Linked DNA regions of Arabidopsis thaliana. The protein of the gene in region 2 interacts with the protein of the main gene of each other region in a pairwise test. Each region holds a gene or a part of one and is shown on either strand. Other genes may lie near its edges. The genes, in order: QKY, SUB and AT5G16220.

Region 1 (8,504 bases), about 24 Mb from region 2:
TTAAAAGCTTAAGCTTAAACTTGATGAAAGACGGGTCAATGCATCTACACGACGCACTCACTGGACAATCTATTGCAGTTTGATCTTTACACTTGTTTATCACCAAAACAGAAGCAATCTGATGGCTGCTTTTCTTACACGTTCATGAAGGGTTTTTTTCTGGGCTTTTTTCAGATGTGATTTTGGCTTACTTCACTTTGTTTCTAGAGATTCTTTTTTTTGGTTTTGGGGAAGTTGGAAATTTGTAATTTGTGGGCGTAGTTAGGCTTTTCACTGGAGAATGAATGAATGTGTATGTAATATTTGTTTAATTATTATAAAGCTTCTTTCTATCACTCAGCTTATGTCTTGGACTAACCATAAACAACTGAACCATACAGCTATAAATCAGCAACTGACAAAAATCAATTGGACAAGACATGGGTTTATGTTCGGTTTACAGAGAAAGAATCAGTCAGCTTCTTGAAGTCCATCCAAAACAACAGAACCAACCAACAAAACAACCCCTGTAAGCGCAAGAGCACCGGCCAAAACCGCCTGAGCAACCACTAGAGTAGTTGAGTCATCCGGGATCAACACCACGGCTACAATAGCAGCCGTGAGAGCTGGTAATGCAGCCGAGGCTAAGACCGCAGGCGATGTTCCAGCTAAGTTCTCAAGGAGACTGAGAAGACCAAGGTCCTCTGCTTTGGAGAAGACTTTAAGCTTCTCAAGAGATGACAATGTGAGTCCCAACCCCTCTGCTTTTGACAGCAGGCCAGATTTCTCAACGTTGCTCAACACTTTTCGCTTCTCCAGCTTCTTGAAAACATCAACGTTTATTTGCTCACTCCCTTCGAAAAACAATCCAGCTCCGTACCATTGTTTCTTCCACTTGGCATCATATTTGTTCACCTTTTGTTACCCGATTCAGTGATCACAATTACACAAATTAAAAAGTATATATAAAACTCTGCAACAATACTATATACAGAGACTTCAATGTCTTTGTTCCATTACTAAAATGTACTGCTTATTCATGTTTCTAAAGATTATCTTGAGAATCAAAAAAGATTTATACTTTATGAAGTGATTGATGAAAGTGCAAAAGATCTCAGAACTTAAACAAAGGAGATGATTAAGAGAGTTAGTTACCTTTTTCTGGGGAGCCATAGCTACGACGGAGAAAGTTGCTGGTGATTTTCCGGTGGAGAAAGACCGGCGAAAGCGGGGGAGAATGGGATTGGAGAGAAATTGTGTCTGCAGCTGAGCCGCCGGAGACGATATTGGAGCGCCGACGACAGCCATTGAAGAAAAATCGAAGCGAAGCGATGAAAATGATTTCTTTAGAGATTCTTTCGTGTCTTGTTTCGCCGTTGGCACACTATCTGAAACTCTGATAGACAGAGAAACTGCCACGTCAGATGATGTCTTTGTGATTTCAACCAATCATTTTCGTTAGCGCTTTATCTCCGGTTTTTCACTTAGAATTTATATAATCAGACAATGTTTACATGTAATAGTTTAGGCGTAAACAAAATAAGTTAAATGAGGAATTAGTAAATCATTTTAGATTACAGAGAAAACTACAGAGATACCAAAAGCAAATCTGTGGTCAAAAAACTTTACTGACAAGTTTTGCTTCCTTTTTCACCTCTCAAATCTGAAATCTCTCTCGTTTCCTTCAAAATATTACAGGTCTCAAAGCTCATGCCATCTGATTATAGTTTCCGACAGAATCTGAATAATAAAATGAAGAATCATAATAATATGATAAAATTCTTAACCCATAATGAATCTTTTTATTCTATTTCCTCCTCAGCCCAAGAAACTGTTGGATACTCAAAAACACCTAACATTTACTATCTTGACATCTTTCTCTCCTTAGATGAGTCGATCGGACAAGCTTGGCAACCGCCGGAAAAAATTGAGACTAGCCGTAGGCATTGTGTCTCGGAACATCGGATGCCGAAGATAATAAAACCCTAGAGCCACCGCCACCATTTTCGCAGGAACTGCATACAGAACTATTGTGATTACCAAACAGATTGCTATGAACAGCTTTGTCGCTCTCGGATCTCTCCAGCTAACCAACGCTTGAATCCGTTCTCCTTGCGCTGCAAAATCTCCTAGAATGGTCTGAACCCTCACTGCTAAGATCCTTAATCGGTCGTACCTAGCTCGGATTACTTCTGGTCGCCTTGAGCTTGGTATGGTGTCGAATTCTTCATCTAGCTCATCAGGATCGACGGTTTCAGCTTGTGATAAGCGGATATCCATACCAGCCGGTATCTTGGGTCTAAACCGGTAGTACCAAACTCCGATCATCACCACGTACAAGAATGCAGTCGGGACTACCAAATCAGGGTACCAAACAAGAACCAGATATAGAATATGGACTAGCACCGTCGTCACTGGATTCCTCCACCGCCTGATATTATCCAACCACTTAGCTAAACCCACTGCCCAAGCTAAAACACCAACAATTCTGTACCAATTCGCTTTGCTTTTCCTCATGCTCCATGCATGCGAATCTGCATCTAACATATATCGAACTACCTCTGGTCCCAATGGTGGTTCTGCTCGAGCCAGCCAAGCTGCTACCATTTTCGTGGCGGCCCCTCTTAATGCATCTTGTTGTGCTACACCTAGAGGCCTTATGTAGTGCATCCGAGGCAGAAGCGGCTGTCCATAAGCTGCACAAACATCAGGCAGCAGAGACGGGCATGCAAACCGGACTGCCACTTCAATTTCACCCATTTTTTTCATACCGCTAGGTAACAAAACCAACAGAGGATATGAATTGGTGTACACTTTGTTGCTCTCTAACGTCGACACCCGGATCCGTATCTTCCCAATCCGTGTGTCAGGTCTATCATCGGAGGCGTCAGAGAACATCCTCCAATTGTCGAAGACTCCAACAGTTAGCACGGTGCAAGGATCATAAACCTGCCACGTATACTGCTCGTGCCACCTCGGGTCAAAACTGTCTGTTATGGTTCGAGTCCTGACCCATTTCTTCCCGTACTTAGCAACACAATAAGCATCAGTGGAACCTTTCCCTCCGTTTTTCGCCTTCATCGGCAACAACCCACGAGCTCCAAGAATCCCCAACTCAAGTATTCCAATCGGCGGTTTCCATAGCTGCTTAGCCGTCGGACGGAAATCGCTGCATACATGCGCCGCCTCTTCAAGCACATGATACCCACCTTCGAGACAAAGTCTAAGGCTAATCCTTCCACAATAAGGTCCACCACCACCACCACCTCCAGGTCCTCCTCCTCCACCTCCACCTCCACCTTCTCCTTCCAGAGTGTGCCATTTCGACGGCACAAAACGCTCATCAATTCGCTGCTCGATGGAGCTCACTGGGATCATGGCATGTCCTAGAAGTGTTGCTTCTTTAGTCGTCCGGTCTTCCACCATCAGAACCAAGCAATCTTCCAACGGCTCTCCAGCAACAAAGATCATATCCTCATGCCAATGAAACGAACCACTGTGGTTATTCATTGAGCCTCTTCTTGTACGCGCCGACTGAAACCCTAATTGAGCTTTCACACGAATCTCAGGCGCAGTCAACGGCGGGAGATTAGGAGCTATGTGTAAATCCTGTGCCTCAAGAACCGTCACTCTCAAGTACCAAAGTTTCGGCGATTGATACACCTTAGAACGCGTGTGAGCTACATGCGGAGCATCAGAGCTCCAAGCCTCCGGAAATGCCTCATCTACCTGAGTACCAATCCAAACAGAGAGCTGAATGTCACCGGAAATTCTCCCAGAGTTCTGATCCGCGCCGGAGCCTTCGAGCCGATACCACTGAGGAGCAAGCGGACTATCCGGCGGGTCACGAACCGGAACCTCAGAGAGATCAAAACAAACTCCTCCGAGAAAACTCTCCGACGAAGCATCCCAAGCAGAGATCTCAAGAGTCGCACCAGTTACAGCGGAATCAGACCGGTTATGACCAAGAGCAAAAACCTGATTCCACTCCGGTGAATCAACCGATTCGCCGGGCCGGTTAACGGCCGGTTTAGACCTGACGAAATGGTTCGACGTCCGTACCTTAACATACGCGCTCTCGTTAGGTGGTAAGCCACGCGCCTTCACAATCCGAACGAAGAGATACTGCATTGGCTCAACAAGATTGTAAGGATGATGAGTCTTCTTCTCCATCGTCGTCTCTCCTCCTCCAGTTTTGCTATTGATAACCCTAGGTGAATAATCTCCATTCGGTGGTCTCTTCGTAACCCTAATTCTATCTCCGCCGGGAGGTCTTCCTACTTGCATCTTCCTCACTTCCGGTGGATAATAATGTACTTCCCCAGCCGATGGAGGTGGCGGCGGAGACGGTGGCCGTTGAGGATGGTTATCATTTCGGTGAGGATGGTTATCATTTGGACCTTGCATTACATGCTGCGGTGGTGATTCTTCAACAATAACCACCGGAGGTTGCTGATGTGTCTCTGTATAGCGCTGACTCTGAGCCGATTCGAAAACCCTACCTTCTTCAACCACAACTACATTAGGTTTCTCCGGTGGTATATTCATCATCTGCTGCGGCGGAGGATGAAATTGTTGCTGGTGTTGTTGTTCATCGGCTTCTTGTTGCGGCGGATGAAATTGTTGCTGTTGCTGTTGTTGTTGCTGTCCTCCACCTCCACCCGCCGTGTCTTCGTCGGCGGCTTCGTCGTAATAGTAGATTTTGAGTCCAATCTCGCCGCGAATCCAGCTGAACACACTCTTCTTCTCCAAAGGGAAATACACAAGACCTTCTTCACCTCTTCGCGAGAACTGGCTTCCATAGATCTTAACCCTACCGAGAAAATGATTCTTCCGGCCACCTCCGTTACCAAATCTTTTATCGTTATAAACCTCGATATCGAGCTCGTCGTAATCCATGTTTTTGGGATCGGAGACGGCGAAATCAAGCATCTCGTTCCAAATAGGGTTTAGGTCACGGAACTTAGTGGAGGTTCGTTTCTTCTGAGCATCGAAATCGACAACGACGTAAGCGCTAGAGCTTCCTTGACCATCTTTAGGGAGAATATTACGAGCTTCAACAACTTCGACAACGAGCTTACGCTGGATCCTCGACGGCGGAGGATCCGAGTGAAACGGCGTCGTGTTCATCGTAGTGGTAGTCTTCTCATTTCTCGAGAATGTCTTCTTCTCTCATTAAGATAGTGAGAGAGAGAAGGTTTTGTTGTTTGTGACAGAGATTACGGTAATCGCGGAAGAGAGATAATAGAAAGTTTTTTTTTCGAGGTCTTGCTTTTTTTATTTGAATATATTCCTCTTTAAAGCTTTATTTTATTTACATGTTTTTAGTACTAATGAAATCTTAATTTCCATTAATAAACTAAAAACAAATCCTATGTACTATACACTATTTATTCATTTCATTAGTTTTAATTAAAACTTACTAAATATTAGCTAAAACTGTTTCTGACACGAGTGTAGATAATTAGGTTCATATTTGTGTAGTTTGTGACAAAGTAAATCTAGGTAAAACGTAATGAGGCCAAAGCATTGTGATTAGTAAAATAAAAGAGATGAAATGGGTTGGTTAATTAGAGTGTTAAATATGATTAATAAACCTAATTGAGGTGGAGGGTAAAAAGGGAAAGGAATATATGGTGTTAGAGTGGGGATAATGGGAAATCTGATTCCATTCTCTATCGCCAAGCCTTCGTTTGATTCTTCACTTTTTACATGCGCTCCATTTTTTTAATTGTACTATCTCATTTTATTTGTGTTTTTGTTGACGTGTTGATTCTTCATTTTATAATATGGTACTTTTCAATGTTCCTATAAACCACCACACATGAAAAGATATGGCGAGTAAGGTTGTTGGATGGTATTTATAGTTATATAATAACAAAGTAGTTTCTTAATCTAACGAAAGAAGATGATCTGAAACGCTAACTTATAAAGGAATATTAATATTTACCATTTGCATAAAAGCAGATTCCGTAAACCTGTCCTACACGGCTACATCATCGTTGAAAGGCCCAAGCATTCTACGGATTTTTGCTTAATCGAGATAATAAGCATAGATTACTTCACTCTGAAGATGGGTCACTTCTTGCTAAATGAAAATTGAAAAAATAAATTCAATTTGATTCGATTGTCATGTCAGTTAAATTCAGTTCAGTTTTAGATCCATATTGAATATATCTGTCTTTGAAGAAAAACACTATAGAAGCTCATTAACAATCATAACAGCTAGGCCTATGAACATTCATGATAGGCCTGCCCTAGTTACAACCCGAAAAGGCTCGGCCCATTAACAAATTAAAGCATTTCTTTTTTAATTTACAAGAGAGACAACATTGCTTTCTTATTGTGAGAACCCCTTATCCCCCATACAAACAAAACAATCAAATACAAATGTTACTCTTTCTTCAATTAATCGCCTGTAGAGATGTTGTTGCTTCATATTCAATTGACTTGGTGAACTGCAAAAACAACAACAAAAGAGAGAATAAAAATTAGGATTTTGGTAACAGAGAACCATGATGTCACTAAACATTTTCTGGACAAAAGCTCGTACCTGAGATATCTTAAGATCAAGCTCATTCCACTCTGAAGATGGGTCACTTCCAGCTACTATCCCTGTCCCCGCATAGATCAATGCCCCAAGACCCTGTAAATCAAAATACAGTTCAGCATTTTTTTACAAGTTGTAGCAAAAACCGTAATGATCGATTTTGCTATAACAATTAGTGTTAAAGTGTGTTTTTTAAAGGGAGAAAGAGATCAAATAAGCTCACCTTTTCGACTAGAGCTGATCTGATCCCGACTGCAAATTCACTCTCCTCGCCACCAAAAAATCCAATAGGTCCCGCATACATTCCTCTATCGAATGATTCTAGAAGAAGCAAAATGTTTGAGTCAGCATAATTCTTAATCTCTACATCTATAGTTACTAGAAGATAGTTGAACCAAGGTAGATATTTTACCTATCTCCTTAATCAAAAGCCTTGCTTCTTCTGCTGGAAGCCCACAAACAGCTGGAGTTGGATGCAGAGCAGCCAATATTTTATACTATAGACAGATAGAAAGAAAAAGGGTTAAAGCTAATTCGAAGAAATGAAGAGCTTGGAAATGTAAAAACTATTCCAATACTATTATCTCACCTCATCATCTTCCTTCGTAAGTCTCCCTGCCAATTGAGAATATAGATGTTGCACTCTTGCAAGCTTCCTCACAGTTTTTTGAGGCTTGACAACAACTCTGTCACATATACCCTGCAAAGCAGAAGAAAGCATAATAAGAAAAAATATACCAAACTATTATCCAAGAAATGAAGCATTGAAGCTGCAGAGCATCAAGATTGAACTTACGTTTAACTTTTCTCTTATATTCTCTCGTACGATAGAGAACTCGAGGTCGTCTTTCGGACTGCAACAGTTTAGCAAAAATTCAGTAAAATGATAATGGAGAACTGGATTCTGTAATTGTTCAAAGCACTTGAAGTAAAAATTGACCTGGTTAGTAAGTCACGCTCTATCTCCATATCACGAGCACTAGAAGCAGCTCTAGGCCTAGTTGCAGCCAAAGCTTCACTGCAGACACCTAATTGAGTCCTTTGGAATAGTCTCTCAGGCTGTTTCACAAAGATGTATGTCACAAACATATTTCTTAGAAATAAATAACAAATGTGCACATATCTTTATCAACAGAACTTATTATCACAGACTACATATAAAAAGACCTACCGTGTTTCCGATAAAAGCTGGTGCACCAGGTGGTTGAAGACAGAACTGATATGCATCATGCCCTTCACGCTGTCACACAAAAAAATTAGTGAGATATAAATCTAAACATTGAAAACTGACTACTATATAATATCCAGAGATAAAAACACACCTGTAACTGTGCTAGCCAAGCAATGGGATCAATGTCGGTATCCGTAATTATCCTGCTGTTACGAGCAAGAACAACCTAATTCCACGAGCCAAAAACATCAGTTAAAACGAAACCTATAAACTTGTTTTAAGAATAGATACGAACACAATCTCTAAAGTCTAAACTACCTTGTTAAGGGGTGAACTTTTCTGGTTAATCATCTCTAAAGCCTTCTCTACAGCAGGGAAATAAGCTCCTTTGGTAGGAACATGATTCTTGCTTAAAACAGATACTCCTAAAGATCTGTTTCTCAACTTCATTACAACAGAAGAAACTTGAAGCATAGTCTCCTGGAGTGCTTCAATAGCATTTTCCAGAGTCCAAGAGAGTTCATCATCCCAAGCAATAGTTGCAGCCAACATTGAACTTCCACCAAACTCATTAAACTCAACCTGCACATGTATCAGCCAGTTAAACAACAACACAAACTCAAAAAATCTCTTATAAAGAATCAATCTTTAAAGGTACCTGAGGGACTGAAAAGTAAAATGCACCAAAAGGTTCCCATTCAACAGCGATCTTGCCATTAGGATCAAAACGCATACCACCATAGGCACGAATCAGAGGTGACGTTGAAGACAAAAACCTTCTGATGGATCTCCAATCGTCATGAG
Region 2 (9,633 bases):
CGCACAAATCTTCTCAATTTCCTTTAAACAACTGTTTGGTAATCGATAAGCAGATATCCAGAAGTTGGTGATACTTACAAGTACTGATTTGATGAGAGTAAGGCGGCCTGCGTACGATAGTGCTCTTGCAGTCCATGAGCTGATTTTTGATCTAACCTTTTCTTTTTATTATTCTTCTTATCTTTCTTCTCTTTCTCTTTCTTTGTGTTGATGATGCAATCACCACTCGATTCTCTGCCTCCTCCATCAATAATAGTATTGCCTCTATCTCTCTCTGCTGAGCAAATATTTATATCTCAAAGGGATAAAAGGAACAAAATCAAGCATTTAAGGGGGTGTATTCAATCTTATATTTTGAGTGATTTGAGGTAAATTGAGTTTTTCTATGTTTTTATGATTTTGGGTGGATTTAAGGAAACCATTCAAAACCACAATGCCACCTAAAGCCATAAGATTTAAAAATCTCTTACAATCATTAAAAATCTAATCCTTAAGTTTTCAAGGACATGAAAATTTTGAGTAGATTTTCAAGCTTTCAATAACACTAGATTTTATTAGATTTTATTAGACCTTTTAAAATTTATAATTAAATAATATTAGATTTGCTATTTTAACACCCCCATAATTCTCTAGATCCCTCATTTAATTCTCGTTTATATTTTTCCATCAGTAAGAATTTACATTTTCTATAGCCATTTGAGCAATTATGGCAAGTAGTGATCATCCTATATGCAAAAAAATTAGATGGCCCAATTTCAAAAAGACATCAGTGAAAGGAGTTTCCGAAGAGAGCAAGCAATGAAGCAGAGATAGAACCTGGATTCAAAAATTTCATAAATAGATCGGAGAGTGCGAAAACGTAATGGCATAAATAGATCAGAGATTCCACAATTTGATGATGATGAAGAAGCATAGCTCTTGTGGTATGACACGTTGGCATGACATGCCAAAGCTACCCGCGCAAGATGGAGGTGAAGCAGGGACTCACTCTGTTTGCTAGGAAGCAGGACATGAAGGTTCTTGACGCTGAAAGCGGACACGACTTTTTGTGGATCTACTTTTCATTTTCCTTGCTATCCCTTTGGAGTCTGTATGGGAAATCACTGGAAGCAATATCGACCTAGTATGCATTGGCAACTTTTGTAGAAGCTTGAAGGACTTGAGCTCTAGGGGAGGCACAGATGCATCTACTAACACATGTATGCTTCCTTGGCAATATAGTTTGCAGAAACCGTTGCTTGGGGTCAGTTATTTAAACAGTGACGGTAGTTCTCAGTCGACACCTCATGGTAGCAATGGGTTAGTTAAGAGAGGGGCAACATACATTGTCTCAGATGATCTTACTATTTGCGTAAAGAAGAAGTTTGATGTGAACTTGGACGATATTTTTGAGCATGAAATCAACATTGGCAAAACACATGTATATCTATATTACTATTCTTTCCTGATATTTTTTTTTGAATCTGACACTAATCCAGGCCATAGGTTTACTAAGAGCCTCATTCGTGACATCCACTGCCTTGACTACGGCTTTCGGGAGCTTTCTTTCAGAGAAACGACTCTAAAGCATCAATCACATGCCCTCTGTGGAGCAGATTGATTTGAAGTTTAGGTTTTGTTGTCTACAGTGCTAGTTGAACAAGTTACCTTCTCTTTTACACTACTGTTAAGTACAACCTTTTGTTCTTGAATTTTAATGTCTTTTGATTCAAAAAATGTTTATCCTTTTCAGAAAATAGAATCTAAATACATGATCAGGTTGGTGAATAATGTTTGAGCCGGTAATGGGATTGGGGTTACATAATGATGATCCCATAGCTCATTTCATACAGCCAACAACATACATAAAGTGTTATTATAATACAAAAGAAATACTTTCATTCATCAAAGGACAAAGAACAAGAATCTGACAATAAACTATTGCTTCTGCGTCTTAGTCCAAGGTTGTGTATCTTAGATCATATGTTGAAGATCTTGGACTATTTCTGATATCGGCGGTCTAAATCCTGGTTCCATCTACAGACAAAGATAAGCATGCACAGAAGTCAAAAGGGTTAGTTAATATTCTGATGTCACGTGTTTGACATTGCTTTCTCATCTAGTTAAGTGATGAATGAAGTTAAGTTTACCTGCAGTGAACGTGATATGATATCTGCAAAACGTGACAATGATTTCATTGGATACGCTCCGTGTAATGACGGATCAACCATTCTTGTCAACGCATCGATGTCATGAAGCCGAGGAATCGCCCACTGAGCTAGTGTTTGATGTCCCCTCGGCCTTGTCCTGCAAAAAAAAACAGGGTTTTGTCTTGAGATAGTGTAGTACAGTGATTTTGCATAAGAAACATAAGTGAACATGTTGACTTTTGAGTTCAGACTCTTTTATGGCTTCTATTAGTTGTCTCTTTAGAGTAGCTAACCTGTCAAATGGTCTGCGTCCAGTGAGCAGTTCTAACATTACAACCCCAAGGCTAAATACGTCGCTCTGACAAGTGTAGCTTCCATACTCAACCTCAGGAGCGGCATAACCCGCCATCTACAATTTTATAAGCAAACATCATATCCTTTACAACACTCACTCTTATGTTTGGGATCTTCAAAATAAGATGACAAATTTACCTGACTCGTTGGGCGTGGTGGTAACATATAAGCCAAACCGCTGTCTGCAACACGTACTGAGAGCTTTCCATCAAGAAGAACCTTGGAAGACTTGAAATTCTGGTGAACAACCGGCGGTTGACATACCTCATGAAGAAACCTGAAACCAAACTCTAAGATCCTATATGTTCCAAATATAGATTGGCGTAACATGTTGAGGTTCTTTAACTTACTGCAATGCCTTTGAAGCTCCTAATGCAATATTTATACGTACATTCCAAGTGAGCTTCTTGTGCAACTTGCGATCCAAATGTAGTGCATCTTGAAGTGATCCATTAGGACAGTACTCATACACAAGTAACCTTTGACCAAACTCGTTACAGTAACCAAGAAGCTCCAATATATGACCGCGTTTAAGCTTCAACACATTGGAGACTAGATTGAGGAATTCGCCGTCACTCTGTGTTCTGTTGATGGTATTGCTCAGCTTCTTCACCGCAAGAAACTATAGATCACAACGTGTCAAGACGTAAATAAGAATGCACAGCATAAAATACTGTAAGACCAAATGACAAATAAGAGGAAAGTGTCACACCTTTCCATGACGAAGCTCAGCTCTGTAGACATTACCAATCGACCCTTCCCCGATTATATTCTCTTCTGAGAAATTATTTGTGTATTGCTGAAGTGAAGCAATGGTGAAAACAGTAGCAGAAGATGAGGAATTCAAGCCCGGGGGGAAATGAGCCGCTCTCTTTGAAGCAGTATCATTGGACTGGAACTGCCTCGGTGGTTGTTGCAGCGGCTTTTGAGGTGTATTAACATCCTTATTATAATATGAAGTAGGAGGCATTGCTCTCCGGCTCTCTTCAGCCCGCTGTGGCATTGGATACCCATATTTCCTGTCTCCAGCTCCATATCCATCGAAAGGCTTAACCATAGGCTCCCGAGAAACTGCAACAAAAGAAAACACCACAGCAGTTTGCCGTTAGGTAATGAGCCAAAGCACAAGTTTCTTTTCTTTTCTTGGAAGGAAAAGAATCAGTGTACCTTTTCCCATAGTGGGGGTTGGTTGAGATGGAGGCTTATTGAAGTATGGTCGTTGTAAATCTTTACGAGCTCCACTGTAATATCGGTTATATATTTTACTTCTGCAACATCTCCAAAGTGTAACACACAAACCGGATACAAGAACAATTATGGCCACTGAAGAAACTACTAGAATGATTCTTTGAGTGGACCAGAATTTTCCTGATCCTGAACCTGAAGGAGGTGATATTTGCAAGGTAGGTTGCCCTGACACAGAGTTCCAGGGATCTCCTCCTCCATTATCAGAAGAAGGTGGTGACCAGACCAGAGGTGGTGATGGTGGTGGATGTTGTTGTGGTTGCAGTGGAGCAAAAGGAGCAAAAGGTGCTGGGGGAACACCAGAAACAGGAGGGATACGGGGAACAGGAGGAGCACGGTGAGTAGCGGGAGGAGGATCAACCACAGGCGGAGGCGGTGGTGTTATAATCGATGTATTGAACGGAGTTCCATCTTTTCTGCGGTTATAATGACAATGTAACATGAATGGCTAAAGAAAAGGAAAAAAAAAACATTCAAGTTTTCTTTTAGTAATACTTACTTGAAGTTTGGAATTTTCAATAGATTTGGCGGTATAGGTCCCGAGAATAAGTTGTTTTCTACATTCCTGAATCAAAAATATGAAAAGCCATAGTGAGATACTGAAGTTGGCTTAATGGTTGGAGAGTCAAGAACAAAGAGTATGCAAGGTGAAAAACGATTACAAATCGGTTAAGAAAAGATCCTCTATAACATCAAGTGTTCCTGTGAGCTTGTTGTCCTGCAAATACCTACAGTCCGACCACATCACATATAAAAGCAATGATAACAATGTTTGTATACGGTTTCATATATGTGCACTTACAATATCTTAAGAGAAGCTAAGTCTCCCATGGAAGAAGGTAAATGCCCCTCCAGTATGTTAGACGATAAGTCCCTGCATTAGAAACTTAATGTATAAATGAAAGACGCTGATGGGAGGATACAAAATGAGACTTAGTGAGGAGGAAATATACAGTTTTGTCAGTTTTGATAGCTGCTGAAAGTAATCTGGTATCTCTCCTGATAGAAGATTGCTTCCCAATGACCTGAAGGGAAAAGAAAGAGTCTGCTTCAAACAGAGGAAAAACCGCAGATGCAAGAAACGGTATCTACATTAATAAAGACTTACAGTTCAGACAAATCGGATAGAAAGGACAATGTAAAGGGAATGTTCCCAGTGAAGCGATTGCTTGAGAGAGATCTGAAACAAGAAAATGAAACCAAACATGAAGTGTCTTTTAACTGTTGGAAACATAAGTATTGCCATACACATAGTCAATTCTCAAACGCACAGGTTTCGGATGGAAGAAGGCAAAGCCTGCGGAATTGTCCCTGAAATATGATTGCTACTGAAGTCCCTGTCCACTCAAACAAAGAAGAGAGAAAAAGTATCACAAAGCAATTCAAGATTATAACCAAACCTTATAGTCAATGGTAACAACATCTTGCATGTTCTTCACATAGCAAGAAGCCTCATACAAAAGATGAAGATGAAAGAAAACAAGACAAGAAGCTTTGCTTACATGACTTGGATAGATGAAAAATCAGCCAGAGTATCACTTAAGCCTCCACCTACCTTCATGCCAGGTATCCTTCTGCAGCCAACAACAATAATTCACGTGGTTAGAACCTGAATTGGTGACTCAAAGCAAACCATAACAAAGAGTTACAAGAGCAGAAGAGGAAGTATACATTTCTGTGATGTTTGAGGAGTCACACACCACACCTTGCCACTTTTCTCCACAAGGGTCTCCTCCAAAAGCAAGCCAATGATGTAGAGATGGTGCTCCCAAAGTGATATACAAGTTATTAATCGCCGAAACTGCAGAAGTTATTAAACAACAGACAAACACATCAAAAAGTAAAATTTCTAGAGATTAAAGAATCTTTCTTATGATAACCATTTAATGAAGAACAATAAGAACAAATTTCTTGGTCTTGAACTAAAACCCTAACAAGAGCTTATGTGTCAAAAACCTAAACTTTTTAGGGTTTTTGAGGTAGCCTCAAAATCATAGAACTTTGCCAATCTGGAGCTTCCCAAACAGCTATATTGCTTACCTAGTTTACCCTAAAACTGATGTAAGTCATTTTCACTAGACACAAGTCTAAAAAAAATCTAGAGTGTTCACTAAACCAAAAGAAGGAGAGTCAAAGCAAAATCCAAATAAAAAAAACTTTGCAGAGAAAGATTATTACCATCTCGTAGATTAGTAACTCCAGCTGAGAAAGGCATTGTCAAGGCTAAAACAGAGAGACCAAAGAACACTTCCCATCTTGTAAAGCTCATAACTTCAGCCACTGAAGATGAGAAAACCCTTGAACTTGGATTAGATTGTTTCTTTCCAATAAAAAACGAAGATTCAGAGGGAATGTTATGGAAAAAAAACACGAGGAAGAAGAAGAAGAAGAAGAAGAAGAAGGGTGAAACAGGGATATTCCTGATTAAAAGGTAAAGTGAATCATAATTTCGTCGGATTTTTAGGAGAGAGAGAAAGAAGAAAAGAGATGAAGAGTGAGTGAGAGAGAAAGAGTGTAGTGTGTTTTGTCTCGAAGAACGAGCGGCTTACAAAAGCCAACGGCTTTGTTTTTCTCAGTTTTAAGCCTTTAAGGTTTCGTCTCCAAAGTGTGAAACAGAGAAAACTTGCCAAGACTTGTCTCTCTTTATGTCTTTTAATTGTCGCTTCTATGCTTCATCTAATTACTATAGTTTCCTTTCATGTAATAATTGGATTTTTCTAATGCCATAAGGTAGAGAGATAGAAGTGAATATTATTTTGATGTAGATTACATATTCCGTTACTTCACCTATTAAAATCCAAATAATGTAACAGGCAGAGTTTATCACACTTATTTCAGTGAGATGGGCCAAGAAAACAGTTGAAGTAAGAAAAGCTCTGAGAATTCTTTAATGGAAGAAGAGAGTGAGAGACCCTACAACAAGGTCAAAAAAAATATCATCATATTCATCCCACGTCCATTTTTGCTCTTTTGGTGATAAAAATGTGTGAATTAGTTTTAGTAACAAACTAATAGCAACAAACTATTTGAGAAAACTAGTACTTTTACATGGTTTGGAAATTGATTTCAATTATACATCTTAGTGAATCCTAATATATGTTTTTAAACAATTAGAGCCAATAAAGGGTTTTTTCTTACGACTTTAAATTGAATATACTTAGTAATTATACAATAATTATCTTTTCAATATATTCTAAAAATAACTAACTAATGTTATATGTATGATTGCACGGTGCATTTTGGTTACCATTCGAAACCTTTGTTTTTCTATTAATAATTAAGAATTCTGGTTTTGTGTTTACAGTTACAACTAACAATCACTATTTATCAATTTCTTTGGAATATATTCTTAATTTGTATTATTCTTTGTTTGTTGGTTGATGTGATGGAGGATTTGTGTACAATTCAATAGTAGTAATTTAATGGAATGCCATCATTGCATAATTTGAGATGAGAGTAACTTCGATATTCATATGTGATTACTTCTCAAGTTCCTTTTTTGGTAGGAGTTACTTCTGAAGTTCTGATATTCACATAAATTATTTGCAACCCGAATAATAACAGCAAACATACATTGTATGATCAATAAAGAATAAAACATGCTTGGTGAGCTTATGTGTTGATATTAGATTTTTATTTTGTCGAGATCAATTAATTATCAATCGATTTTTTTGGCTTGTCAAAATCAATCAAGTTCACACCATACACGATAATAAGTTGCGACTAGTTAAAAAAAAAAAACCACATTCTTATGGGCTATTCAAACCAAATGTGGCCCAAACTTGGTCAATAGTGTAATGGTAAAGCCCACTTGAAAGAAGATACCTCTCGTAGGCCTAATAATGCAATGAGATTGCAACGGTTACTTTCAATCTTTGAAGAAAAGTAGAAAACTATCGTACATGATGCTTTTTTGCACCCAAAAAAAATCGTACATGATAACATTTTTTTTTTTCAAAACCAATATGCCAAGTGCCAACCATAATAAACCGAACCAAAATCAAATAAATAATACCGAATCAAATTTTTGTTTCGACCGAACTCGACCCAAAACTACACCAATCAGGTTGGATTCATTTTGATTCTTGTACTTCAAAAAATCAGAAACCCCATATAATAATGATTGTAGCACTTATACATGCATACCAAATTAGTTATGAGATTGGAAGATGCATGATAATGAATTCAAACTATTGGTCTCTTAAAAAAGAGTGTCGAGGAAAAAATACAGATATTGTAAAGTTAGGCTTTATTTTATAATATGGTCTCTCATTACGCAAAAGGCGAAACAAAATTAAAGAATGCAACACTACTTTATGGTCACCCGTTAGCCAGAGGATCCAAGGCACATAACGAATGTTTTATTTATTTAAATCAAATCTAGTTACGTATCTACACGAATTTTGGTTCAAGTTTTGGTTTTACATCACCCTAGCTTTTTCCGCCCTACCATTTTACATCAAGAAGCTTCAAAGAAAAAGTTCTATAGATTATGAAAAGTCAAAAAAAGAACTTAAAAGAATTTGTTAGACGATACTTGGATACAATTTGCTGTTATGCACTTGATCGTTTTGAAAATATTAAATTGATCAGAACTATTGAATTGTCTCGTTCCATTTTCATTTTCCAATATACACAAGTATGATACACTCAAACTTTCTAAATTAGTTTGAAGTATGATACAGAACTATTGAAGCCTGTTTTTTTTTCTCTCGGCGGAAATTATTCAACATTCATCCAATAAATTAGTTAACGTGTGATGTGGGGTGCAAAAGGACAAACAAGAAAGCGTTAAGAAAAGCATAATCTTTACAATGCTCTCTCCAAAAGATGAGCCTATAAAAGTAAAAAGAATAATAATAAAATTGCTATCAAAAAAAAAGAAAAAACGTTTGAATGATTTACTAATAGACAAACCACAAAATCGAATTTTTGTACTTTTTAAACAACACCTAAATACTTTTACTTCCATACCTATGGTAACCAAAAAGGAAGGATCCCAGTTTTGTTTTACACGATTGAATATAAACTAAGATAGTTAAGTAAGGCTGTAGAACAAATAAACTATTTTATACACAAACTAGAACCTACTAATGGTTCATGTAAAACTAAATAACTATTTTGTTTTTACACTATGAATCAAGTCTTAAACCAATTATAAATGAACTACATTTTGATGTAAAAAAAAAAAAAGAACTACATTTTGATTGAAATAAAGAAGAGTATTGGTTTATTAATATAGGAAAAAACTAAACCAATACACTTATGTTAACTAAGTATTTTCTTTGATTTTATAAGTCACACAGCATATTCAAATCGTGGATTAGTTCTAGACGATAATACAATAAATAAATTACTAATAAGTTTAGCCTATTTGAGTATAAAAGATGAAGACTCAAATATTCATGATACATTATTTGAAATTTGTTGGTTCGGACGATCATAGTGAATTGAATTTAGTGTATGATGGTAACTTTCTTTTTGGGGTCAAAGTTACGTGACTTTGCTTGCGTCTGATTTTGACTGTCAGAAAATATATAATAATTGGTGTCACGGAAGCAAATCTTTTGCCACCCTACTCACACATCATACAATTTAATTTCTCATTTTTTATAATCAAAAACAGAAAAACATTTTAGTATTTTTCAAAATCCACAACCAAACAGATTCTGAACTGGCGAAGCATGTGAAAACTGATTAAGATCAAATAACTTCGAAATTGTAAATTCCGGCGATAATTCGGTAATAAGATACATTATCTCATAGGAAGATGAAACACTCTAATGAAACAAGAGGGTTCTCAAACGAGTCGTTAGGGGCAGAATTGTAATTTCCAATAGAACCCGGCCACTTGTGATGATTACACTCTTGATCCGACCCGTTCATATTCGGATTGAGTCTGACC
Region 3 (7,058 bases), on a different chromosome or scaffold from region 2:
AACCTGCTAGAAGAAGATATTCTTTCACTGCACAGTTTAAGTCTTGACGTTCATTGTTCTTCAAAGGCCCTATATCAGTGAAGGAAAAATCTTTCTTTTTCCGTTGAATCTCTGGCCTGTTGCCTCCAAACTCATCCGAATCCATCTCTGAGAAATAACAAACACTATCAGGACATAGTTTGGTGATTAGGTTGCTACCATGCTGGCACTGATGAAAATAACAAAGAATAAAACTCATATGCATTATAAATGATGCTTTCATACCTAAGCAGAAAATATCTCCATGGAGAAAAATGAAAGAAAAGAGGAGATGGCTGGCGTACAGGAACTGGAAACTTAGACTAACAACTACTTATTGCAGAGAAAAATTCTAATACATTGAAGAGTCTGCACTTCAGACTAAGATCATCACTGAAGTTTCTGAAACCCTAATAACCGACTTCATGCCACAAAACCCGAACTGAGTGTTTATATATACACGTTTATCTAAGTAGAAGATTAACTACGAGACGCTAAAGATCAGAATAAATATTTCAGTAATGGATTACCTTCTGACTTGTCAATCGAAGGAACAGATTTCTTCTGTCCTTCAGTTTTCAATCTTGCAATATCCTCCTGAGCTAGACGAAATTCATATTCGCTGATAGCTAACTTCTCAGCTAAAGCTTCTTTCTCCTCCAACAAACTTTGTGGATCCGCAACTGCATTGTAGGGTAACAATTACTAGCTACGCTACAAACCAAGTTGTCTAAGAAAGCCTGACACTATAGAATCAAAAACCTCAGAATGCGACACAAGATCCGACATGGGTTTGTTCTTGGTCATAATAGTATACCCCATTTAACAAGCTGAACAATCACCATTCAAGAAACCTTCAATTATGATTGCTTTTCAAACTTAGACTATGAGAAGAACATCAAATGCATGAAGAACAAAAACATGACTCCACCATTTTCAGGATTCTCCATCATTTTATGAACTACTGTGCTTTTCATAACTTTTAAAACATGTCCATGATCCAACCTGAACACTATTCAACTGCTTTCTGAATTAAGAAAGACCAAATAAGATAGCTAATTTATTCACATCATACAACAGATCCCCAAAAAGATCACTAAAATGTAACGCAGCTCAACCACACTGAGAGGGACGATTTAGCTGACAATTTCGGTAGCAAACAAAATAACAATGTGAGGCAGAATGCGGAAAATTGGCGAACCTCGAATTGAATTATACCGAGAAATCTGATCAGGAGGGAAACGGGAAGGATCGGAAAAGAACTCCTTAAGACGAATTGCTTGGGCATCGCGGCCATCGTCGAGGAGCTCGTGAAGAAGCTCAAACGCCGTCAAGAGGTAGTTCTCCTCCATCAGGAAGTTGACGAAAAAGTTGCACAACGACGATCGCTCCGCGTCCATGTTTTGTTTTCTTCTTCTTTCACGGGAACACTAAAATCCAATCAGAGGAAACACCTCCTTCGTTCCAATATCACTGAGCATTCCAAATGAAAATTCAAACTTTTCCTCTCTCGATTCGATCGGATTCGATTCACCAGATCGTGTCGGTGTTCTCGCCGATGAATCTCTCCGGAAGCGAGTGACGGTAGAGATCACGTGCGACAATGTAATGGTACATCGTGGATTAGTTGAACCAGATTGTGTAAACAGTAAGCTATAAGACACGTGTACGGTTCACATCACAAGATTATGGCAACGTCGTTTGTGTCACGTGTTTGCTTAGGCCATATTGAGAGAGAAAAGTCAACTTTTCCTTGCAAAAATAAGAAAATTTTAAACTTACAAAAGTGTTTAGTCTTTTTGCTAATTGGGCGATTGCTGGTAAAACATATAAGATAAGCATAATTATTCCGCAGATTAACCAATACAATCATCAAAATATGTTCATCTTATGACATCAATGAATTCTCACCAATCACAAGGACAACAAAAATAGTACTCCAATATCATAAATTTCTTTATAAAATGTTTCTAGAAAGATGAAAAAACCGTAAACTTCTTCGTGTTATTACAACAAGAGTGAGTAAAGAAGGTGAAACAAGGATCACTTGAATGAAAGAGACGAAAAGCAGAAGCATGTATATTGTATAATATGTATGGGAACCAAAACAAAATTGTAAAGCCAAATACCTGAAAGTGCAGCAACATGAGAATGGATGGGATTCTTAGATCTCTCAAGCATAGTGTGTCTGTACCTGACTGAAAGCTTCGGTTACCATAATGGTTTAATACTGAGACGGTAATGTGGGAGCTGGAGGCTGAGATTTGTAAATTTGAGCATGAGCTATATCGTTGTCGTCATCGACATCGGTATTATAGATGAAAGCATCTCTTGAAGTAGTATTAAGAGTAGCTTCACTTGATGTCTGTACCGATGAATCAACGGGTTTGGATAGAGGATAAACCTGTGAGGAAAACTCTGGCGCTAGAGGGCTGCTGGTGCGGACCACCGGGGAATCAACTTGGTGATAGTTTAAAACGGTGCTCGGTTTCACAGGCAGTGCTTGAACGTGCCTCGAACTGTACTGCTCGACTGGAATGTAATAGATTGGGTATGGTTGTGGCGGACGCTGATAATAGACGTGGTTTGTGTGATGGTATGCTGTGGCAGGCAATGTCATAGGTGAGTTTCCGGTAATGTAAGGTTGTCCAGTGTAAATGACTTGGATATGTTGTTGTTGAGCTTGGTTCATAAATGGTGGATACCCGGAAATTGGGACTGGAACTGGTCTGTTTAGCTCAGCCACATACAAGTTTGAAGACGGTTTGTTCTCAAAAGCATGTGAGTGTGATGGTAGCTCGTGGGAAGGTATTGGGGTGACTGCAGAATTGTCGTTGCTGTTCGTAGAGTAAGAACAAAAGGAAAAATGGTTAACAGTTACAAAAAGGCTTTCCAACTAAACAAGGTTTAGAGGATTGGCACCTTCTCTACCAATACATATAATTCGAAGATTACATTCGTAGCTGAATACCAAATGAGGAACAACATATCCCCGAGACTCGGAGCACATTGATCCGAATTGAGAATTACCATAACACAATGGCAAACGAGACAAACTCCTGATTGCCTAAGCCTATGAACTCATTCACAGATCATATACATGAAGACGAGAACCTAATTCGACTACAGGATCATTCCAAGAATTCAGTTTCTGTTTCCAATCATTACTTCAAGAGATAGCTTATATATTACCACATTTAAACTCGTTCTGCAACACTACCAAATTCATTTGTGTCACTGGCTAAACAATTCAAAAACTCATAGCACATTGCATTTCCTAGACAACAAATTGTGTACATAAGTTTTAGAACGCTTACACCTAAAACTATTCGATAAAGCAATCAAATGGTGAAATCAAACAGTTAAGAGCATAGAAGAATACCTTGTCACTGATTCTATTGGCGCAAATTTGACTTGCGAGTTCGCTATGTTGTCCTCGCCGGAGCTTTTTATCGGAGGTAAATTGCTCGACGAAACCGAGGATGATGTCGAGCCAAAGGATGAATTAGTCTCTAGCATCATCGACTCCTGTCCACAAATCCCGCCGTTACCATCTCCACTTCCGCTAGTTCCGCTATTAGTTCGTCTAGTCTGCATCATCTCCACGCTCTTCAAAGCGTCTACGAACCACATCTCCGTCTTAGGGTGCTGAAGTACCGGCTGAGTCAATTCTTCACGAATAGGCTTATTAGACTCTTCGATTCCAAGCCAATCGATATCGGTCTCCACTTTACACTGATCCGAATCTCCCTGACTCGCACCAGCTTCATTCGATTGTTGTGATTTCAATGGGAAAAGAAACAATCGGATACGCGATTGGGGAATCGAGGACTCGGAGGAGAGATAACCGTGTTCTTCCATCATGATCTGAACATCCTCATCCGCCTCGACGGAGATAAGCGAATCTAGTTCCTGATCAGGAAGCTGATATTTAACTTTGAAAGGATAAGAGATTTTGAGCGTAACCGTAAGGTGGCTAACAAGAGAAGCGAAGCTCGTTTCCGCGGAAGAAGGAATGGCGACGATTCGAGTATCTCCGCCTACATAACGCGGCGATTTCGTCTGCGGAGGTGAAACTATACTACCGCCATACCTACACATCACCCGTAACTTTCCATTTCTTTCATTCTTCTTCCATCTCGGTGTGACAACCTTCGCGCCTTCCGCTACGGTGGCGAAAGCGGAGGAGACGGTGGTCATGGAGGTGCGATTTTGGTTTTTTTTTACTTCTGAGTTTCCTACTTTTTTGGGCAGACGCCGTTTATAAGCGGCGAGTTTTTTTTTAATCGAATCGAAGTTGTTTAGCTTTACTGTGACGGTAACGTTATCATTAACTGAATGTATCAGCATAGTAATTTGGGCCCATGTACTGATATTCCCGAGCGCGTTACTTTTAAAACGGGTTTAGAACCGGGTCGGGTGAATGATAATCCAGACCGGGTTTAACCCGGTAGAGTAATTCTGCTTTATTCGATTTTTTAGTTTCTTCAGTGTCGAGAAATGTTAATTAGTTCAATCATTGTTGTTTCTTTAGTGTATTATAGATTTGATACAATTTTGGTTTGATATATAGTGCTGATTTGAGGTGGACTTTATATTTATTTCGGTTATATTCGGTTTAGGTGTTACGGTAAGAATTCGATTAGAAATTTGCGAGTGATAAGAAGATGTAAAAACTAAATTATTCAGAAATAGAAATCTCATGAATTTTTTCAGGGTTAGTGGTACTAAATTTAATATTTATAATAACAATAAAAAAAAATGATACTAAAGTATCAATACTAACTTCTTCTTTCTCACTAACTTACTAATTAGAGATTATCATATTTATTTAATTAGTTGTCTAAATGAACAGGTTAGAATATTGATTCGGTTTGGATTGAACAAAAGCTTAAAAGCGAACGGTCTGTGCTGAGTTGGGTTCGTGTTGGATGAAATTAAGTTTGTTTGGTTCGGTTTGGTTAATAAAATCAACACTCGTAAATCGTAATAATGCCGTTTGCTGATATGAGAAAAAAAAAACAAATTTGGTTAATAAGATACTCGTTTGGCTCATTCTATATAACGTGGATCGATTTGAGGTATCATCCATAAATACATTTACCGAAGTAAGATCAAAACCAAGCTTCTTTTTATTTGTGTTTTATGCCCCAAAACCGACGAAACTGTATGTTCAAATCTCTGAGTTACTGTTTTTATAATGAAAATAAACATTAATACTTACTTAGTTACTTTTTACCCAAACAAAGCTAATTGAAAAAAATAACAAAAGTTTAATTGTAAAAATCATATTGCGGAATTCATTTAGCTTATGCACGTTTAGGATACTCATGATTTTTTTTTCTTCATAATTTTCATTATGATCCCGGAAACAGAAGTTACGTATGGGAAGATAAAAGCAATATTGTATACTTCAACGTTTTTTCTATAACCAGTATATTTTGACAAATTCCAAACTAGTTTTCAAAACCTATGATTAAAAGATTCATCACAATATTGGAAACCAAAGATTCGAATTTTTCTTCAGTAAACGTTTCAGATACTTTCACTTTAGCGTTTTCTATACTAATATACTTATTTCTTTTGAAATTTCTTTCGTAGACACATACCCTCTTGAAGTCTTGATTGGATTGGAGTAGGTTTCTGGTTAAAGTATAGTTGGAAAAAGAAAAGAAAAAATATGTAACGCTTATACGTTAGAGGACCAAAGATAATATAACGTACGTCAGAGAATCATAATTAACGTAACACTAAAAATCATCAGTTACCTAAAAAGAAGACCAAAATTGTTTTTATGTTAACATGATCAATAGTGTTTAAGATAACAGAATGTCATGGAAATTAATCTAAAATACCTTTCTCTCCCGATTCGATTTTCAAGTGCAAGAAATCTTGTGATAGTATTACCTAGTTGGTTCTTAGTAGAATAGAAGAAATAATATCAAGTGACGAAATTTGAGAGATATATACTATATAGCGGTCAATAACGTTGATTAGTTTTGATATTTGGTGATCGACCGTGACTTTATTCCTTTGCTGTTTATGAGTAATTAGGATCTATCCTATTCTGTTTACTTTATAACATTGCGATTCTTGTGAAGGAAAATAACTAATTAGTATTTACGTCTCCAATTTTGTTGTCTTATTTCTTTCTTTTTGAAAAAGTCTTATTTTCTAACTCTGAACAGATTTCCATGGTCTTTCGTTTTATATGTACATTTCTTTCTTTTTTCTTGAATAGTACTCACCATCATTTTAGTTATTTTTTGAAAATTCTCATAGAATTTTTGACTTGACAGCCAATGAAGATATTACTTAAAATCAATAAGACTTAAACATCGTGAATTGGATTAAAATCCGCATATAATTAATGAGATATTCTAAGAAATATACTTTCTTTAAAAAGTAACACAACAACAATTTGGAAACGCCCAAGAAGGTTTGTATTTTAGAATCACGACTGATTAATTAAATGACTACCTTTAACTCGTAAATACCGATAATGGTAAATTGATAATAAGGGGAGGTTTTTCATGTATTTATTACACGGAGATTTATAATTAATGTTGTTCAAGTACACGTACTCTTTAACAAACAACAAATGTTGTGTACCTTACCAAAAAAAAAAAACAACAAATGTTGTGTAAGTACATATTTTTTCCACAGACAACTAGCTTTTTATGCGGGAGTTATCTATTTCTCCATAGATAAATGGCTTTTTCTACGGGAGTAATAATTCGGAATATTAGATGAATCGTTCAAAAAAAAAAACGAATTAATGACAAATAACCTAAAACTTAACAAATGTCCATGGTTAGCTTAAGGGATTAGTATAATTAATCACAGACGTAAATAATCAATGAGAGGAGAGAACACTCCAACTCAAGTCAACTCTTCTTGTATATATATAGAGACATATTCCTCCTTGTAACGCACAGCAACAAGTACAAGAGAGAGAGAGAAAGAATCAAAAACATCTGTCGCGGAGAGAGAGAGAAAGAGAGAAAGAGAAAAATGTCGATGGCTTTGCTTTTGACATC

The links.
Region 1: the proteins of SUB (region 2) and QKY interact in a two-hybrid assay, tested with the Arabidopsis thaliana proteins (2 studies listed by BioGRID, with this or other methods).
Region 3: the proteins of SUB (region 2) and AT5G16220 interact in a two-hybrid assay, tested with the Arabidopsis thaliana proteins (one study listed by BioGRID).

What each region holds. Positions count from the first base shown.
Region 1 is NC_003070.9:28,071,778-28,080,281, reverse strand, and holds QKY (C2 calcium/lipid-binding plant phosphoribosyltransferase family protein), read right to left. Parts: upstream 5,356-8,504; 5' UTR 5,110-5,355; coding exon 1,864-5,109; 3' UTR 1,451-1,863; downstream 1-1,450. Other genes in the region: CPK30 (calcium-dependent protein kinase 30), read left to right, coding at 1-83; AT1G74730 (transmembrane protein, putative (DUF1118)), read right to left, coding at 451-894, 1,135-1,287; EDS16 (ADC synthase superfamily protein), read right to left, coding at 6,320-6,625, 6,753-6,850, 6,942-7,026, 7,119-7,229, 7,326-7,383, 7,470-7,588, 7,701-7,769, 7,852-7,926 and 2 more. UniProt on the Arabidopsis thaliana protein: May be involved in Ca 2(+)-dependent signaling and membrane trafficking. Plays a role in fruit dehiscence. Components of the machinery involved in organ development mediated by the receptor-like kinase STRUBBELIG (SUB).
Region 2 is NC_003070.9:3,719,499-3,729,131, reverse strand, and holds SUB (Leucine-rich repeat protein kinase family protein), read right to left. Parts: upstream 6,425-9,633; 5' UTR 5,998-6,424; coding exon 5,907-5,997; intron 5,564-5,906; exon of another isoform or gene 5,530-5,563; coding exon 5,400-5,529; intron 5,303-5,399; coding exon 5,231-5,302; intron 5,066-5,230; coding exon 5,000-5,065; intron 4,909-4,999; coding exon 4,837-4,908; intron 4,754-4,836; coding exon 4,682-4,753; intron 4,603-4,681; coding exon 4,531-4,602; intron 4,457-4,530; coding exon 4,391-4,456; intron 4,294-4,390; coding exon 4,228-4,293; intron 4,145-4,227; coding exon 3,651-4,144; intron 3,555-3,650; coding exon 3,196-3,554; intron 3,106-3,195; coding exon 2,834-3,105; intron 2,761-2,833; coding exon 2,622-2,760; intron 2,539-2,621; coding exon 2,423-2,538; intron 2,287-2,422; coding exon 2,130-2,286; intron 2,017-2,129; coding exon 1,954-2,016; 3' UTR 1,682-1,953; downstream 1-1,681. Other genes in the region: AT1G11145 (hypothetical protein (DUF674)), read left to right, coding at 966-1,016, 1,088-1,420, 1,496-1,600; AT1G11125 (uncharacterized protein), read right to left, coding at 9,489-9,633. UniProt on the Arabidopsis thaliana protein: Regulates the expression of transcription factors that define the cell fates.
Region 3 is NC_003076.8:5,296,362-5,303,419, forward strand, and holds AT5G16220 (Octicosapeptide/Phox/Bem1p family protein), read right to left. Parts: upstream 4,282-7,058; 5' UTR 4,219-4,281; coding exon 3,401-4,218; intron 2,856-3,400; coding exon 2,243-2,855; 3' UTR 1,751-2,242; downstream 1-1,750. Other genes in the region: AT5G16210 (HEAT repeat-containing protein), read right to left, coding at 1-147, 549-701, 1,220-1,418; AT5G16230 (Plant stearoyl-acyl-carrier-protein desaturase family protein), read left to right, coding at 7,033-7,058. UniProt on the Arabidopsis thaliana protein: Collaboratively with SUB and QKY, regulates cell growth anisotropy during gynoecium development, thus linking together cell-cell communication and cellular growth.